2 linked regions of the Yarrowia lipolytica genome follow. The protein of the gene in region 1 interacts with the protein of each later gene in a pairwise test. Links are inferred from orthologs where the notes say so. Each region holds a gene or a part of one and is shown on either strand. Other genes may lie near its edges.

Region 1 (8,081 bases):
CTGCAGTACATATATTCCGATACTCCTACTCGTACAGTATGTACATACTACAAGTAGAGGCATGTGAGAAGCCAACAGAAGTAACAAAAGAACCCCAACGATTTATTCTTCACTGCCTCTTATGTCTCATTCAAGTCTTACAGAGATAGTTCCTCTTTCCATCTACCTAGACATAGAAGCTGACTTCCTTTCCTCGTACTCGTACTCGTACTTTACTTTAGGCTGTCTTATCCATCTGCTGTATGTACTACAAATAGTAATTAGTATCCTTAGTGTCTGAATACAGTCAACAACACTACAGTAATCATACTGTAGTATAAATACGGCTCGTTGGTTCCGCTTACCGGTACTGTATCGTACCGTACTTGTACTACAGTGCTGATAGCCGCGCAAATTTTCGTTAATATCACCATGAACGCGATTTTGTCGTTCAATGTGAAACAGCGTGTCCGTTTTGAGACAGCTTGGGGTCTAGAACAGGACCTACGGATGAACCAAGAGTGTCATGCGCGCTGATTGTCGTTTGTTGCTTTCTTGATCCACACGTGCCAAGTCAATCCCTGTGCTTACATATATTCCGCTTGTCCACGATCCCGGCCCTGGGCCATGTGATCACGTCCAGCAGGGTCTACAGAGCGTATACAATTGTGCGGATAATCCCCCGGTTTGTCCTGGTTTTGGCGACATTTCCGCAGCCTTTTACCCAGATATTATCCCACTCGGATTCTTAAATTATCGCCTGCCGCCCCCATATTTGCAGCAGAAAAGACCCTTACTTGCACATCCCCACCCTTCGGTTTCCCGTCTCAATTTTAGCAGCCTTTCAGGTCTGAGGTGTGAAGCTTGAGGTTGAGGTACAGTCGAAACAAACACATCTCTCTCTCTCCAGGGTTTCTTTTTGTGGGTAAGAAAAGCAGCAGCAGCAAGGCCGAATCGGGATCTTCGTGCGCCGCGACCAAGGCCCTACAAGTAGCGGTCTTTGTGTCGATTAATTCACCGCCCTTTATAGTCCTACAATGGCCCTCCTTGTTCTTGGCCAACCAGGCATGCTCTCAACTTTGGCAACTTTCACACTCCCATCTTGCCCAACATGCACACACACACACATACTCGATACGAGATACGGATGGACTTGTTGGTCACCCACTCACAAAAAAAACAAGACCAAGACACCCTTCGTTTGTTGTTTGTTGGTGAGTGTGTGCCACGTGTAGGTTCCAAGCTACTAGGCGAGGTTCATAAATGAGATATATATATATTGCAATAGAAAGATCTGATATCTATCTGAGGCGTTTATGTGGATGATAAATGTGCTTGTACTGTGTGTACAATACGGTACAAGACACCCACCCTCATGCCCCTTTTTACAGTACTGTACAGCACTTGTACAGGCTTTTTTTTCCCCGTCATTTTTTTTACGCACTCCTTTTTATAGACTCTTCTATACATCATCTTTTCTCCTGTCATCACATGTTAGCTGCACCGTTTGTGCCTTGTAGGCGGTGCAGGTTTGTGGGAGTTATGGGGCCCGTTTCGCGAGGCAGAGTGAGGATTAATAAACAGTATATTTTCTCGCCCAAATCCACTCCCTTTTTTATTTCTTTTACAATCCTTTTATTCGATTTCATGTGAATTCCCCCCCATTACTCCTGGCGCTTCTCAACCCACTCGCTACAGTCGTAGGCTCAGATTAAGGTTCACGGTACTCGTTGCCTGCAAAACAAATTAACTACTCCCATTCCGTGCATGTCGACATAGTCACCGGCATACGACTTGTCCGCACAAATGGACCCACTCGATATCGGCAACAGCCAGCCTCGCGAGGGTTGGAACCGGTGAGTACAACGGACCCGACGGTGTCTCAGGCGGATTTGCGCGCTATCCACACAATTGAGCCCGTGCATCATAGTGCCACAGAGAGATGAACGAACCAGAGAGCCGCAGACCAGGCCAGACACGTGTCGATTGAACGGTCGTAGCAACTGCAAGGTGTTAAACGAGACGAACCGGATCAGCTCGACACAGCTCCAGTCCGTGTCACTAGCTTGTTAACCGACCTGTGGCTCTGTTTAGGGCCACATCTGTGGCAATTGCTGGGAAGGCAGAAAAGCCATTGAACGACGACAAAAGCTGTGCCTTTGTTTGATTGACTGGTCTCACAGGGAGTGGTACTGATTCTGTGGGAGGTATTTCGACCAGCCGGCTGTTTCTCATTGTTCTGACGCCGCTTCTGCTGTATTTGGCTCATCACAGCTACAGGCCCCAGTGGCGATGAGGGCGGAGTGGTGTTGATGCCAATCTGGCTGCTGGTGTCTGTAGTCGCTGACAGTTACTGGTAAATTCTTTTTGCTACTCATCTGCTGTTTTCTGTTCATTCGTTGCCTACCCTGAAGTACTGTCTCGGGGGCAATCTCTCAGCCATCCTTCGATGACACTAGAACTTCTGACATTGGTACAGCACTTGTTTACTCCTGAAATTTGGCGAGTAGTTCCCTACTAACCCAGCCTCAACGCATTCTCCAACGACGGAGTTTCGCCCACATCCAACTCCTACGATCATGATGAACTCCCCCCATCCCCCACCTCCCGAACAGCATTCACAGGCATCGATCCGGACTACGAGTTTGCACCGAAATGGGAACCCGGCCACGGCAACAACAACTCGTCAATCGATGACCCTCTCTACTCCACCCTCGATCCTCACGCTCGAGCAAATGCATCTCTGACCCGCTCAGCTCCAGGACCTCCTCCACCAGGGCAACGGCCTCCCCCAGAGCGACCCACTGTCATCACACCAGTAGGAACGCACACACCCTCAGCTGGTGGGTCGCGTGCTGTCACTCCGATCAGCACCAACGTCGACAGACGCCCCTCCTATGCCTCTCAGGGTACCACCGGCTCCACTGGTTCCAAAAAGAGTATCCCGCAAAAGGTCATGGATCTGTTTGTGTCTGACGACACCAGCGCTGATTCCGATGGTCAGTCGTCGTCGTCCAAGAAGCATCACAAGGTGAAGCTGCCGAGGCCGTCCAAATCAATGTTCTTCTTCAAAAAGCATGATGATGACGACAGCCGGTCGGAGCACAGCCGTGAACGCACAGAGCGAACGTCTCACCCAGGTGATGGACACCAGCTTCGAGCTGCTCGGTCGTTCAACAAACCTGATCACGGAATCTTCCACAAGGCGGCCACGTCGAACCATTTCGACGACTCCAATAGCATCCACAGAGCCACGTCTCACTCCACTCTGCCTAGTGGAGATGAAGACGACACTCTCATTGCCTTGGCACACAAGGCCAAGAAGAGCTCCAAGAACATTATTGGCAAGGTTTTCCGTGAGTATCCGAAACCAATGGCGCAAAATTATCCACAAGCACTAACTCAGATCACAAGGACAAGAAGAAGAAAAGCCATACCTTCGATGGACCTATCAACCCGTTGGAGTCCCACGCACAACCGTTCAGAAATGCATCTGTGGCGTCGGTCCCGGAACCCCATGCCCCAAAACAACAACCCACAATGCGTTCAGCAAGCACAGTGTCCCATCTGGACCCGCACAGAAACTCGTCGACCTCGTCGCGTGACCACATGGCCTCGTCGTCTCGTGACCATACGGCTTCCTCGTCGCGAGAGCAGGTGCTCAATATGATCAGCAAGCGACCCTCTCTTGCCAATGCAAACTTCTACAATCTCGATACTGACCTGGACTCCATGGCTGGCATTGTCGAGGACGGAGGCGCTTCGAGCTCTGCCAACTCGTCGGCTCTCCCCCGACACGCCTCAACAGGCTCAGCGGCCGCCGACTCCATTCCCGGTATGCCTGTTCTGCCCGGAGGCAGCATCTCTGGGCCCATGGGTGGCCCCATGGTGGGCGACCGCTCATCCGTCAGTACTAACAACAACACCAACAACGCCAACAACGCCAACAACAGCAACCACAACTCTGTGTCTGGCGTCGCATCTCCAACTCCAGTGGTCAACACTGCTAATGCATCCGGCACTACGGCTGCTCCAGTCATTGGCGTAGGAACCGATTTGTCATTCATTGGAAATGATGACACTGCGCCCCAGACGAATGCAGGCCAATGGTCTGCGCCAGAATCTTGGGCAGTCGCCGATACTGGTCCAGGCGGAGGTTCGAAACTGGAGCCTGAAGAGATAGTAGAGACTTACGCTGACCCCACCCGTGAGCAGTACGGACTGGAAACCAACGTGAGCACACACATCCCAGGAAAGCCGCCAATCAACTACTTTGTCCGTATTTTCAGACAGGATGACTCTTTTGGAACCATTGTGTGTCCCCTGGAAACCACTGTTTCTGAGTTGATTCAGATTCTCGGTAAGAAGTTCTTCCTGCCGTCTGTCAAGGGGTACCAGCTGTGTGTTCGCATTGGCGGTTTGACCCGTGTGCTCGATCTGCTGGAGAAGCCGCTGCTATACCAGAAAATTCTACTCGAGTTCATGGGATACACCGAGAAGGATCGACTGGTTGAAGTTGGAAGAGAAGATTTGAGTTATCTGTGCCGATTCCTTTTCCTGCCCTCTTCCATCCAGACCTTCACTCCTGAGGAAGAGGCCATCATGTCCCGTGATTATGTGCATGCTGATCTCCAGAACCTAGAGTTGCAGACTATTCCAATCATCTTCTACCAGTTCTCTAACGAGATTGAGTATCTGGATGTCTCCAACAATCCCAGTATCAGCATTCCGCTTGATTTTATTCAATCCTGCATTAACCTGAAGAATCTGCGGTTCTCTGGAAACCGATCGAGGTTCTTTCCGGTCAACATCTCGCATGCAGTCTTCCTGGAGTATCTTGATATGAGTCGTAACATGATCAAGGACGTGGCTCAGATTCGGTTTGAGCGAATGTCTGCATTGACGACACTGGATCTCAGCTGCAATCAGCTGACTCGAATCAACAACAACGTGGCCTTGTTGAAGCAGTTGCGACGGCTGTCTCTGTCTAACAACAATGTGACGGACTTCCCCATGGCCGTTTGCAACCTGTCCAACCTGATTGAGCTGGATCTCTCGTTCAACCGACTGTCCAGTGTTCCTGCCAGCATTTCCAAGCTGGTCAACTTGGAGCGACTGGTGCTGAACAACAACTACATCAGCAAGCTGCCCAACGACATCAAGAATCTGGTGCAACTGAAGGAACTGGATGTTCGATACAACCGGCTCAACAACGTTGATGCTCTATCATCTCTGCCTCTTCTGGAAGTGCTCTATGCTTCCAAGAACCAGATTACATCTTACGAGCACAACTTCGAGTCGCTGCAGTGTCTCTACTTTGACAGAAACCCCTTCACCGAGGTCAATGTGTCCAATGTCCTTCATACTTTGACCGTGTTGCATCTCTCCAAGGCCAAGCTGTCTACACTGCCGGAAAACTTCTTCGATCGACTTCCTAACCTCGAGAAGCTGGTGCTGGACAAAAACCATTTCGTATCTCTGCCCTCTTCTCTTGGTTCTCTGCGAAAGCTGATCTACCTGTCCGCTGTCGGTAACAATCTGAGTGTGCTTCCTTCTTCTATCGGCCAGCTGACCACTCTGCAGTTCCTCGATCTGCACAGTAACAACTTGCGAAAGCTGCCCGACGAGATTTGGAACCTCAACGTCCTGTCGACTCTCAACGTGTCATCCAATCTGCTCGACTCGTTCCCCAAGCACAAATTCCACGTGTCCAGTGTGTCCTCAGGCGATGCTTTCCACCGAAACTTGGAGAGCGAGTTCGACAGCAACTACGAGATGCGAATCCGACGTCCTTCGGCCTTCAGCATCACCTCGACGTTGAGCCCCGGGGAGACCAGCAGACGAGGTAGTCTGGCGTACAACAGCCCCAAGATGAGTACTTCTCCCATGACCTTTGCACGTGATGCTCCTGTGTCGTCTCGTACTACACTCGCCAACTCTCTGTTGATTCTGTCTCTGGCTGACAACCGGCTCAATGACGAGTGCTTTGAGGAGCTATCACTGTTGACTTCGTTGCAGGTGCTCAACTTGAGTTACAACGAGCTGATGGATATTCCCTATGGAGCCCTCAGACGTCTCAACCGGCTCACAGAGCTGTATCTGTCTGGAAACAACCTGACATCTCTTCCCGCTGACGATTTCGAGAACATCAAGACTCTTCGAACTCTCCATGTCAACGGCAACAAGCTGCACTCTCTGCCAGCCGAGCTGGGTAAGATTCTGCATCTGACTGTGCTTGATGTCTCGTCCAACCAGCTCAAGTACAATATTTCCAACTGGCCTTATGACTGGAACTGGAACTGGAATTTGGATCTCAAGTACCTCTCTTTCAGCGGCAACAAGCGACTGGAAATCAAGTCTGCTGCCAACAACCTAATGCGGCATGGCGATGGGACGGAACAGAAGAATCTTTCTGATTTCACCGTTCTCTCTCAGCTCCGAGTCCTCGGTCTGATGGATGTCACCCTGACCACCCCCTCGGTTCCTGATCAGACGGAGAACTGTCGAGTTCGTACGTACGGATCCGAGCTCAACAACATGCCCTATGGCATGGCTGACTCTCTAGGCCAACACGAGAACCTGTCCATTATCGACATGGTTGTGGAGCGTTTCCGGGGCAATGAGAATGAGGTTGTTGTTGGTATGTTTGATGGACGTAACGAGATCAACCCTCGGGCCGGCAACAAGGTTGCCAAGTTGCTACAAGAGATGTTTGGTGCCCTGCTCCAGGATGAGCTCAAGAAGATGCGTGACGACGACACCATTGAAGATGCTCTCAAGCGGTCTTTCCTGGCTGCCAACAGAGACATTGGTGCCGCTGCTCTGACCACGGTGGAGTCGCACACTGCTCATCGAAGTAGTACCACCACGCACCTCAACAAGCAGGATGGCCTCACCGGCTCCTGTGCCACAGTTTGCTACATTTCCGACAACAAATTGTACGTGGCCAACGTTGGTGACTCCATGTGCATTCTGTCTAAGGGCACTGGAGAGCATCGTCTGCTTACCACCCGACACGACCCCACCGAGCCCGAGGAGCTTGGCCGAGTTCGAGCCGGAGGAGGATTCATTTCCGCTCACGGTAAGCTGGACGGTGTCTGCGATGTGTCTCGAGCCTTTGGATTCTACAATCTCATCCCCCACATCCAGGCTCGGCCCGATATCGTGTCAATGGAGCTCAACGATTCCGATGAGCTGCTGATTATCGGATCCAAGCAGCTGTGGGAGGTGATGAGCTACGAGACGGCCGTCGACATTGCTCGAACAGAGTCTCAGGACCCCATGCTTGCTGCGGCTAAGCTGCGAGACTTTGCCATCTCGTACGGCGCATCAGACAAGCTCATGGTGATGGTGCTGGGTATTGGAGTGAAGCGACGAACAGCCAACCAATCCAACCTAATCTCCGGTCTGCCTCCTGTTGGTGAAGACGAGCTGTTCCAGCCATACCGAAAACGACGGGACAAGTCTCTTCTTCCTGAGGACTCGAATCTCGCTCGTCTAGGCTCTGAAGTCGATCCGCCTGAAGGAGAGATGGCCATGGTTTTCACGGATATCAAGAACTCCACTCTGCTATGGGAGACGTATCCCATTGCCATGAGATCAGCCATTAAAATTCATAACGCGATCATGCGACGTCAGCTGCGAATTCTGCGGGGTTACGAGGTCAAGACGGAAGGAGATGCATTCATGGTGTCATTCACGACGCCCACATCTGCTCTCCTGTGGTGTTTCTCTGTCCAGCAGCAGCTTCTGGCCGCTGACTGGCCTGCGGAGATTCTGGAATCAGAGGAGGGCTACGAGGTCCGAGATGACGAAGGAAATGTTGTTTTCCGAGGTCTGTCTGTTCGAATGGGTATTCATTGGGGTTCTCCTGTATGTGAGCCTGATCCCATTACCCGTCGAATGGACTACTTTGGTCCCATGGTCAACCGGGCAGCCCGAGTGTCTGCCGTCGCCGATGGAGGCCAGATTACCGTCTCTGCTGACTTCATTTCCAAGGTCAAGAAGCTTCAGAGTCTGCGGGAAAAGATGAACGCAGAGAATATCTCTCTGGGCGAGGCCTTTAATGATGAGATCACTGGCCAGGCGATCACCCAGAACTT
Region 2 (4,024 bases), on another chromosome or scaffold:
GACTGGAGAGACCCCTACTTGTAGGGTCTTTTGACGTCTGCTCGGCAAAAACAGATACGAATGTGATTTTTGGTTCCAAAAGGTACTTATACATACAAGGGACCAATAGGTAACTTGTTCAGCCTCGATTCCACTTTGCATGGAATGTACGTTTTTCTGGCCTGTGTTCTACACCTCTCCCAGTAGCTACTGTACCAATCTATTGTCCATCTCTCTCCCTCTCTCTCTCTCTCTCTCTCGCTCTAACTGCTGCTACCATCCATGTCTGTTCTGTAGGGTCCAAGTGCATGCACAAACAGATGCCGCCGTATTCGTACTCGTACCATAAGTAGAAGAAAGAAAGACTGCGCCAATCAGCGTACCACTTGTTATGCAGAAGGACACAGGCCAGGCAAGAGTTGGACTGTCTACGCTGTCCTGTGTAACTGCCTTCACTCAAGATACACTACATGCAGCAAGGTGTAAGAGTGCCATTACTCTCTCACTTTCATCATTGATTGGAGAAACGGGTGAAACTTCGAGTTACTGATTCACAGCTACAAGCACCTGCAAAATGACATCAAAAGACCTTCACGATTGAGCCACAACTCCAGCCACTACCTGTAGTACATACTGCACATACAATGAGCCGCAGGTATGTATAGGTGCAATTGTAATCTCTTGGCAACAACCGTCCATCCGGCAGTAAAAGACAACGAACCATTCATTCTGCCCGGACTCACCAATGTCCCTTGTACAGTTGAAGTTTTTCCGCCCAAGACCGGAGATTTTAGACAGCAGAAAACCCCCCATAACGAAAAAAAACACATCGAGTAGTCACGTGGTTTAAGCACCACCACTTTACTTCTCATTGTCATGCCCCTATTCACCATATTGCCCTTGTCCATATTGACCAATAACCGAGGCACATGGGGGATGCAGGTGGAATTTTTCAAATCACGTGATTAATGGAGTGTGCATGGTTTCTCGTGACTTGGAACCTTGTTACGGATGACTTGAAAATGCAATGACACGGCACGGTTGTCCCCCTCTACAAGAGAGTCATTAATCATAAAGTACTGTACTGTACTGTATTCGCAATTACTTGTTCACATCTATGTGTTTAAGAGGTGGCAGGTATGATGTGGGCGTGAGAATTAGTCTGTCTGACATTATCACGCTATGGGGCGTACAACTGGCGCGCTGGTGGTGTCAAAGTAATAATAAATGACTATATTAGAAATAGACTCGCGTATAAAAATAATAACGGCGCCGACACGGACCCCGGAAATGACCCTCAGGAGATTAGGTACCAACGAAATCAGATATTCTGGGTTCAAAAGTCACGCCTTGCTTGGATGTATGTAGTTACCAAGCTCAGAATCTCGAGGTATCGGAGGTTGTGTGGAGTTTTCTTACAACCTTAAATTCTCCATTCCTATCTCCGAAACATGGGACGAGGCTCGCGATAGGGCTGTGCAAAACACTGTCGTTCGTGTTCGAGGTCCGCGAAACGCAAAGGCGGATGCGTGTCTTTGCCGCTTTCTTGGGTTGTTGGTATTTCTTGGCTTATTTGGGGTCAGATTTATGTCCTCGTCTCCTTCTGCAAAACTCACTTGAAAATCATTTGTAAGCTGATATGTTGTTTTGGGCCCCTATTCCAAACTTAGTGGGGCCTCATTTTTGGCTTTTTGTGTTTTTGAGGTGCACTTTTTTTGGGAGTGGTCCAATTAAGCTCCGTTGGGACCAAAACAGATAGGGATTGCTTTTGTGTACATAATACTATTCCCTACCTGACATCACCACTCGAGGATAAGGAGGTCATTGGGGTGGTTGGATCAATCTTCAGATACGTGATACGGACACTACGAGCTTCATATACACCCACACGCATTAATTCGCCCGACAAATAACGCCAGCCGCACACTAATACGCAAGACACTCCACAAGACGCCATGGGATGCACGAGTTCGAAGGAGGTCAAGCCTGGACCTAGCGGACCCTCCGCAACGGCAGGGAAGGCGAAACCAGCTAATACGGCGTCAAATTCGACAGCAAACACGAATTCCGCCGCCACCGCAAATGCAAACGCAACCAGCACGGCCAACAACACAACTACAACCCCGAACAGCGCACCAAAGGCCAGAGCTGGTGCAAACGACGCCACTAACGACACCGCCAACACGCCAGATGAAGAGAAGGAAGTGAAGACGCTTCTGCTGGGTTCCGGAGAGTCCGGAAAGTCCACCATCATCAAGCAGATGAAAATCATCCACCAGAATGGCTACACAGACTCCGAGCTCTATCTGTTCAAGAGCACCATCTATAAGAACCTGTTGGATTGCGGTCGGGCTCTGCTGGCCGCCGTTGATAAGTTTGGACTGCAGGAGGAGCTTGCTGCCGAGGTTGGCCACAGCAACAAGACAGAGGCCATGGAGGCCAACGATTTTGACTTTGTGGAAGACAAGGTCAATGAGGCAGAGCACCCAGTCTACACAGGTGGTAGAGGAGGCGTGGAGCAGTTCCAGATCATCTTGGACACCCCCAACCCCAATGATAACAACACCAGCCTGAGCCCAGAGCTGGTGGATGCTTTGGATGCACTGTGGAAGACTGCGGTCGTGCAGGAGAAGCTTCTCAAGGGTCTGCGAAACCAGTTCTACCTGATGGACTCGGGCCCCTACTTTTTCCACAACCTACAGCGTCTCGGAGGAGCCCAGTACATACCCACTCAGGACGATATTCTGCGAGCCCGAATAAAAACTACTGGTATCTATGAGACCAAATTCCGACTGGGCTCGCATTTGATTCACATGTACGATGTGGGAGGACAACGGTCAGAACGAAAAAAATGGATTCACTGCTTTGAGAATGTCACCTTGATCATCTTCTGTGTGGCTCTGTCCGAGTACGACCAGGTTCTGTTGGAGGAAAAGAAGGAGAACAGAATGAACGAATCGTTGGTTCTGTTCGACTCGATCATCAACTCACGTTGGTTTGTACGAACTTCTGTCGTTCTCTTCCTGAACAAGATTGATGTCTTCACCGAAAAACTTCCTCTTTCGCCCCTAGAGAACCAGTTCCCTGATTACATGGGCGGAAACGACATCAACAAGGGTGCCAAGTACATCTTGTGGCGTTTTACCCAAATGAACCGGGCTGGACTCAACATATACCCTCATTTGACTCAGGCCACTGACACCTCCAACATTCGACTGGTGTTTGCTGCCATCAAAGAGACCATCCTGCAGAACGCTCTCCAGGACGCCGGTATCCTGACTTGATGTTGACATTGACTGTACAGTACCATTATATAACTTCCATTATTACTAATTTGTATATATATATATATTGATGATGTAACGTAGAACCGTATGTATAACAGCCAGGTGAACTGGAGGCAGAGAGCACAAATTTGCTACGCGGATCTTGGAAAAAACAACCTTTCAACAGTAGAACAATGGTTTATTACATCACAAATGTATTGGTTCTCGAAGTAAGTATCAGCGCTATGGATTTTGATGAATTCGTTCACTTTTCCCATTCTTCCCACATTTCTTCTTCATAGGTCGTCACCTTCGGGCCAGCAACACCAGGTGTACAAAAACTGGTCCCACCAGTTCTTTGTTTCCCCTTTCGTTATCGGGGCATCTGTTTGGGGTCTGGCAGTATCAAAATCGGGTGTGGGTGATCTTTCTCGGGTCTGTCCAGCAATTGGAGCTCTAGAATAGGGATGAACAGCTCCTGGAACGTATCCATGATGGGATCTTCCACGATTTAGTCGTCGTGGGATATGCTTACTCTCCATTTCTGCCTGTTGAGGTGTCAACGGAGTGAGTGTTGGTGTCTCAAAAACCGGCATCCGAGGGGACGAGGTATCGAATACAGGGTTGAAGGGACCAATAGCGCTTGGAATGAACTTGTTTCGGATCTCACCTCCATCAATTTGTTCAGGAGATTCAGAGTGTGATGACTCCGTTTCAATTTGGTCACTAATCTCATGTGAAGCCATGTATAGCTCAAGGCCGTTGTCCACTTTGGAGAA

What was found.
Region 2: the proteins of YALI1_B24424g (region 1) and YALI1_A09372g interact in a two-hybrid assay, tested with the Schizosaccharomyces pombe proteins (2 studies listed by BioGRID). The link is inferred for Yarrowia lipolytica from reciprocal best matches to the Schizosaccharomyces pombe genes cyr1 and gpa2.

The regions. Positions count from the first base shown.
Region 1 is NC_090771.1:2,437,683-2,445,763, reverse strand, and holds the start of YALI1_B24424g (uncharacterized protein), read left to right. Parts: upstream 1-1,785; coding exon 1,786-1,835; intron 1,836-2,505; coding exon 2,506-3,335; intron 3,336-3,385; coding exon 3,386-8,081. Other genes in the region: YALI1_B24446g (uncharacterized protein), read right to left, coding at 813-1,022, 1,067-1,108. UniProt on the Schizosaccharomyces pombe protein: Acts in glucose-induced cAMP signaling by catalyzing the synthesis of the second messenger, cAMP to activate PKA signaling and repress sexual development and gluconeogenesis.
Region 2 is NC_090770.1:935,280-939,303, forward strand, and holds YALI1_A09372g (uncharacterized protein), read left to right. Parts: upstream 1-1,934; coding exon 1,935-3,263; downstream 3,264-4,024. Other genes in the region: YALI1_A09397g (uncharacterized protein), read right to left, coding at 3,542-4,024. UniProt on the Schizosaccharomyces pombe protein: Alpha subunit of the heterotrimeric guanine nucleotide-binding protein (G protein) involved in glucose-induced cAMP signaling.